Linked DNA regions of Saccharomyces cerevisiae S288C. The gene in region 1 interacts genetically with each later gene. Each region holds a gene or a part of one and is shown on either strand. Other genes may lie near its edges. The genes, in order: RTS2 and HSU1.

What was found.
Region 2: mutations in RTS2 (region 1) and HSU1 together harm fitness more than expected from each alone (negative genetic interaction), as found in Saccharomyces cerevisiae (one large-scale study listed by BioGRID).

The regions. Positions count from the first base shown.
Region 1 is NC_001147.6:469,720-473,097, reverse strand, and holds RTS2 (Rts2p), read right to left. Parts: upstream 1,200-3,378; coding exon 501-1,199; downstream 1-500. Other genes in the region: BUD21 (Bud21p), read right to left, coding at 1-373; SKI7 (Ski7p), read left to right, coding at 1,478-3,378.
Region 2 is NC_001144.5:21,701-26,019, forward strand, and holds HSU1 (cystathionine gamma-synthase), read left to right. Parts: upstream 1-1,868; coding exon 1,869-3,596; downstream 3,597-4,319. Other genes in the region: glutathione transferase GTT2, read right to left, coding at 1-139; JLP1 (sulfonate dioxygenase), read right to left, coding at 4,056-4,319. UniProt on the Saccharomyces cerevisiae protein: Plays a role in inorganic sulfur assimilation during sulfur-limited conditions; catalyzes the conversion of O-acetyl-L-homoserine (OAH) into homocysteine in the methionine biosynthesis pathway.

The DNA.
Region 1 (3,378 bases):
CGTCCTTCTGATCTATATTTTTTAGCAATTCCTCAGGAAGCTCCGCAATTACTTCATCAGTGACCTCTGTCTCATTCACTGATTTCTTTTGCTTGGCGTATAATTCATTTTGCTTCCTTCTCTTGGACCGCAATTGTGATTGTTCCAGCCTTATAGCCTCCTCCCTCTGAGTGATCTGTGATTCTACCTCACTTTTCCCAGAGTGAAGCCCTTCTTCTTGTGGAGCATCATCATCATCACTTTCCTCATCACTACTTGAATGCACTTCCTTGTCCTTTTTTGATATTACCAGCACATCATCTTGTCTATCCGTGACAGCACTTGCGCTGGCTTGACTTTCATCGGCATCAAACTTGACGTGTCCATTACTCATTGTCTTACTTAATACGTGTATACGGGTAGTAACAGTTCAGGGTATCAATTCGTACTGCCTTCTAAACATATTTGGGCTTGTTCGAACAACTTCGCTAACCTCATCGCTTGAAAAGAAAAATTTTCAATCAACGGAACTTGATACCATCTTTCCGTGGAGGAACCTTCTTTTTCTTTTTATTTACCCGACCATTCCCGTGGAAGGTGACTTGAACACGTTTCAGAGTGCTATCCCCGCTAATTTCCGATTTCATCTCTGGTTGATATACCTTTTCAGTTTGTCGCTTAGCACGATTGAGTTGTCTTTTCAAAAGCTCGGCGGCTATGACTTCTTGCTCCTCTTGTTGACTTCGCAGCATTCCATCTTCAGAAGGTGATGATAAAGATGAGGGATGGATCCTGATAAGCAAAGGACCTTCAACGTTCTCAGATGTATCATCAATATCCATATCCACGTCTACCTTGCCCGCGCGGCCTAGGTACCGGACAAACTGCGTCAAAGAACGATGCATGGTGGCATTCATATGTACATGATCGCGATCTTGAACATACTCGTTGTATACTTTGTTAGCATCAATCCATTTTTCTCCGTGCCGCTGCTTCAATAACTGTAGAAATCCCTTTTCAAACTGGATATTGTAGCGCCTAGCGTCCTCAGCTGTCACTTGACTAATCTTCCTTAAATGAGATGGCGATTTGTTATGTGATTGAAATCCGTTTGCATCTTTACATTGCCTTTGGCATATTTGGCAGTAGTAACGGGTTTTCTGTAACCCACGACGAGCTCCCTGCTTGGACCAATATTTCGCACTATCATAATCTGCCATCGCTGTGATTTTCTACAATCAAACAACCCTGTGTTTTCGCTCTTTTTAGGACTTGTCAAGAAAAGAATGATGATACTGACTTTTCCATTTGATATTAATTTCAACTAGCGGAGTTTTTCCAGTTTTCAAAGTACAGGACAAAGTGTTGTGTAACCCGGACCAGATTTACATTGGTGTACTATAATATGTACTATAACAGATTGGAGGTATAAACCTAGAGACCCTTCTACAATACACGTACGAGGAGGTGGTCTTCGAAACTTACAGTACCACCTGACATGTCGTTATTAGAGCAATTAGCAAGAAAAAGAATAGAAAAATCTAAAGGCCTTTTAAGTGCGGACCAGTCTCATAGTACATCGAAAAGTGCATCCTTACTAGAAAGACTACATAAGAATAGAGAAACTAAAGATAACAATGCTGAGACAAAAAGGAAGGATCTGAAGACGCTACTTGCAAAAGACAAGGTAAAAAGAAGCGACTTTACCCCGAACCAGCATAGTGTTTCATTGAGTTTAAAGTTGTCTGCCTTAAAGAAGTCAAATAGTGATTTGGAGAAACAAGGAAAATCAGTGACATTAGACAGCAAAGAAAACGAACTCCCTACCAAAAGGAAATCGCCTGATGATAAACTCAACTTAGAAGAGTCATGGAAGGCTATTAAAGAAATGAACCATTACTGTTTCTTGAAAAACGATCCATGCATAAATCAAACCGACGATTTTGCGTTCACAAACTTTATCATAAAAGATAAAAAAAACTCGTTGAGTACATCAATACCGCTATCGTCGCAGAATTCATCATTTCTGTCCTTAAAAAAGCATAACAATGAGCTCCTTGGTATTTTTGTGCCTTGTAACCTGCCGAAAACAACTCGTAAAGTAGCCATTGAGAATTTCAATAGACCAAGTCCTGATGATATAATACAATCGGCCCAACTTAATGCTTTCAATGAAAAATTAGAAAACTTAAATATCAAATCTGTGCCCAAGGCCGAAAAAAAGGAACCAATTAACCTTCAAACACCACCTACTGAGTCGATTGATATTCATTCATTCATTGCCACCCATCCTCTGAATTTGACATGTTTGTTCCTCGGTGATACAAACGCAGGCAAATCCACTTTGCTTGGTCATCTTTTATATGATCTAAACGAAATTTCTATGTCATCAATGAGGGAACTACAAAAAAAAAGCAGTAATTTGGATCCTTCATCTTCAAATAGTTTTAAGGTCATTCTAGACAATACCAAAACAGAAAGAGAAAATGGATTTTCCATGTTTAAGAAAGTTATTCAGGTAGAAAATGATTTACTACCGCCATCATCAACCTTGACGCTTATAGACACTCCTGGTAGTATCAAATACTTCAATAAAGAAACTCTGAACTCAATTTTGACCTTTGATCCTGAAGTTTATGTATTGGTTATTGATTGCAATTATGACTCGTGGGAAAAATCATTAGATGGTCCAAATAATCAGATTTATGAAATTTTAAAAGTGATCTCTTATTTGAACAAGAATTCCGCATGCAAAAAGCACTTGATAATTCTTTTGAATAAGGCAGATCTAATTAGTTGGGATAAGCACCGACTAGAAATGATTCAGTCTGAGCTAAATTATGTGTTGAAGGAAAACTTTCAGTGGACAGACGCAGAATTCCAATTTATCCCGTGTTCGGGTTTATTAGGTTCGAATTTGAATAAAACTGAAAACATCACAAAATCTAAGTATAAGTCAGAATTTGACTCTATAAATTATGTTCCCGAATGGTATGAAGGTCCGACATTTTTTTCGCAACTATATCTATTGGTAGAGCATAATATGAACAAAATAGAAACAACTTTGGAAGAGCCATTTGTAGGCACAATACTGCAATCTTCTGTTCTTCAACCGATAGCGGAGATAAATTACGTGTCACTCAAAGTCTTGATCAACAGCGGATATATTCAATCAGGCCAGACAATTGAAATTCATACACAATATGAAGATTTTCATTACTATGGTATAGTTTCAAGAATGAAGAATTCAAAACAAATACTGGAGACTAACACAAAAAATAATATATCAGTCGGTTTGAACCCTGACATTTTAGAGGTTCTTGTTAAGATTCATAATACCGAAGACTTCACGAAAAAGCAATTTCACATTCGTAAGGGTGATATAATAATTCACTCTAG
Region 2 (4,319 bases), on another chromosome or scaffold:
GCACACTTGATAGCATGTTCTTCTCAGCCAAGGCAATGCGGACTCGGGCCGGATAAGGCCCTGCGGGTGTGTCATATATTATCATTTTTTGTTTCATCTTTTCACCTCCATTGTAAATCAGGAAACCTCTGCCATTCATGTATCCTTTGTAGGTACTTTATATAGAGCACCAAGTTTCTATCCTTTAGCAGGAAGCACATTATTAATCATTTGAGACGTAAACGAATGAATTAGTAAGCAGTGAAAGAAATTCGAGCACTAAGCGCGACCTAAGGGAACGGACACGGAACGGAGAAACTGAAGTATCAAATACTTCCATTTGATCAAACCACTTGTATCCACTCCCTGTTTTGCACACGGTAGTAGAAGGTCTTTTGAATATTTACTGTAAATACCGATTTCTATGTCCTTCTTGTCCGATTATAGGATTCGGGTCATTTCCAGCGCCTACTTTCCTTCTTGATTTCAAAATGTGTGGTTAACGTACTCCCAATTGCACTACTGTTCCTACAGTTCACGCGCACCTCTTTCTGATGAAAATGCAGCTGCATTAATCTGCGATCTATTGGCATCTCGCTCTTGTATCTGCCCTCCATTCGTGAAATTTTACTCTATTACCATCTTTGATCATTTTTTTGTCGCAAATGTGATACGGCATCCATCGAATTTTGCTCGTAATTGTTTGCCATTATCGCCCTTTTCATTCCGTATTATTCATCCACTCCGCTTCATAATGGGTTCCAAAAAAAGAACTATTGTACGAGCTTTTAGACTCACGAAAACATTACTTGAACAATAATTAGCGCCTGCAGAACTTGACATAATAAAATTCCATTTTCGATATCTAGCTGTCTGAAGATATGATATCTAAGTAATACGGGAAAGTTTCCGCTATTATTCTCTGTTGCAAGCTCACGTGAAAATGTGGATTCGCGAGTGGGGTGTAAGTGAGGATTGCCAAGCCTTTTGTTCGAAAACTTCTGCAGGAAGCGTTGTGTTGCAAGGATGATGCAGCATGAAATATGTGTTTTCTTTTTTTCGAGGTTCACTCCTACAGGTGATTCCTTCGAGAAATTCTGCAACCCATTGTGATATGATGCCTGGCCGAAAGATTTCTTCATTTCTTCGGAGCAGGTTCGGCCCGAAATCCTCATGATCGAGCCGAATGCCAAGAAGTAAAACACCAGGATGACTAACCAGTTATTATCATGTGTATACAGTACTTTGGTACCTTTATCAAGAAGTATACTAAAATATACCAACACCACACACATGCACATGGTAGCTGAGCGAACAGTTTCGAGATTTCAGCATTAATTTCATCTAATAAGACTTTCCGTCTGCTTTCAAGATCAACGTGCTGAACATTTTTACTCTGCTTTCATAATACTCCCATTTTAGGCTTTGATTCAAAAGCCCACTCAATGCAATACCTAAAATGATATCCTTCAAAGATATGTTTAATGAATATGCAGCCACAGCTTTGAATTCAGATTGACCTTGTGTTGCATTAAGTCAGACACCTCTAGATTTGTGTGGCTGCTCTCAAGAAAGGATGTTGAAGAAGATTTATTTACGGAAGAAATAACTGTATACGGCATTTTATTCTTTCTTAAACGAGCAAATTAAAGAATAGACGGATAGAGACTGGAGCTTTAGCATGTGTTCCGAGAAGTCCTTGACACGCGCCACGGTTGTTATGCCGCACACTACAATGATGTGTTTGAAAAAGTATATTAATGCCTATTGTCAAGATGCAATTCATCAATTCCAGCATTGAGTGATTCTTCTCTGGTGCGGTAAAACATAAATTTTAAATCTAGTACTCAACCACCACTGAACAACTATTAATCATCGTGGAAATTATTATGACGGAAATTGAATTTGGGCAACCCCTTCCCAGCAATCTAGACTATGCTGTTTCTTTTGGCATTCCTACATGGGATTCGGCAATAGGCTATGCGGAAAAGGTGCCAGAGGTAATAGGCAAAATGGCTACAGGATATCCGAGGTACTTTCCTCAACCCCCCGTCCAGAGGCTTTGTGCTTACTTTGTTAAGAAATTTGGGCGAGGTTCAGAAAACTGTCGTCCTTTTCCATCCGTTAACCTGGGTTTAAAGTGTTTCGAGTACGTAAAATCTGTCTCAGGACCTGAAAGTAAAGCTCACCTTGAAGTGGAAACAGTTACGATTAAAAACCGTGGGGCAAAAACGTCGAAAGAACCGGCGGAATTGGTGCTAACCATTGCTGCTGTCCTTGCATCGGAGGAAGAGTTCGAGACTGTGAAAGAGTATTGGAAATTAAGAGGTGAATGTGTATCTAGTCGATTGGCGTTGTCTGTCAACCAACTTCTTGACTGCGCTAATCATGGCTCAGAGCAGGTATTGCGTGAGCTAGAGGCTGGTGTTTTTGCAGCAAAGAAGGGGGAGGAGAAAGCAAAGAACCTGATAAAGGGAAGGATAGTTGAGAATCGCTTCAGGCCCTTTGGTTTGGAGAAGAAAACCCCGAATTGGGAGGGACTCAACCTCAACCCAAATGAAGACGTTTATCTTGTATCAAGTGGCATGTCTGCAATATCTACGGCTCGTAATTTACTCACCTTTTGGGAGGAGAAGAAGAATTCAGGAGATTCATTAAACAAGACCACCTCTGACCAAAAGAAAAAGCCATTATTATGTGACACTGTTGGCATCTTCGGCTTCCCTTTCAAAGATACGCAGGTCATTATGACTAAATTTGGAAAATGTAAATTTTTTGGATTTGGAAATTCTAGAGACGTTGTCGAATTACAAAAGTTTTTAGAAACAAGCAAACAACGCATTCTTGCCGTTTTCGTCGAGACACCTTCAAATCCTCTGCTGAATATGCCGGATTTGAAAAAATTGAGGAGTTTGGCCGACCAGTATGGCTTTTTTATTGTAATTGATGATACTATTGGGGGCCTTAACGTTGACATCTTGCCCTATGCTGATATAGTCAGCACGTCCCTGACTAAGCTTTTCAATGGTGCTAGTAATGTAATGGGCGGCTCTGTCGTTTTAAATCCGAAATCATCTCTGTATCCATATGCTCGTGAGTACTTCAGGAGCGCTAATTTCGAGGATTTGTTATGGTGTGAAGATGCGATAGTTTTAGAACGTAATTCCAGGGATTTTGAAGATAGAACTTTACGTGCTAATGCAAACACAGGAATATTGTTGAATGATTTGCTTTTACCCGAGGAGGGGAAAATATGCAAAAAGATTTATTATCCAACTGTTACTTCTAAGGAGACCTTTGAGAACTACGAAAGTGTACGTAATGAACGTGGTGGCTATGGATGCTTGTTCTCTGTAGCCTTTTTCAATGAGGGCGATGCAAAAGCATTCTATGACTCTTTAAAGGTATTCAAGGGACCTTCTAATGGTACTAACTTTACCTTAGCATGTCCATATGTCCATCTGGCGCACCACTCAGAATTAGAAGAAGTTTCCAAGTTTGGGGCCGACCCCAACATTATTAGAGTAAGCGTAGGTTTAGAAGATATCCAGTGGTTATTGAAAGTTTTTTCAAGTGCTTTAGATGTTGTGAAAAGCAGAGGCTCCAAACACTCATGAAGCAGATCATGAGTAGAATATCAAAAATCAAGAATTCTTTATAATCTTTATAGAATATTGTTTATAAAAGTTTTTTTCCATTCTAGCATATAATTTTTTTGGAGGAAGTCTTTTCTGGAACCTTCACATGGATCTTAATTAATGAAAGTAGACAGAGCTCATAAGATCACTAGTTGTTTATAAACTGAAGATGTTCCTTCTTATTGACTTCAACATTATATCGCTCTGAATTAGTTGATCTGTAACTTCAGAGTTTCTTTACCAGAATAAAAGCGTCACAGTTTTTCTTTAGTTTATATGTACACAGGTTGGGGTTTACTATAAACTATAAAAAAGAAGTGTTGTCGCCGCTATTTTAAGGTTTATACACAATTTTAACCAAAAAAAAGAATAAGTTGAGCAACGTTGGAACTGCCTCTGCAACGAATTCCGGCTATATACAACCTGCATCTTTGAAATTCAAATATCCAAAGTTAATGAAGAAGGATAATAATTTTCATCATTCAAAAACTTTAGATCTTCCACGGGCCTTTCCGCTTGTGGAGTAATCCTGAACGCATGTCTGTGAATTGGTTCTTCCCAATCAATCACTGCTGAATGTTGAACTCTGCGGTTATCCCAAATGACGACGGAATGAGGTTCCCATTTGGCTCTTAACTGTAAATCATGGCTGCTCTCCACTAGATTGTACAAGAAATTCAAAAGTGATTCAGATTCTTGTCT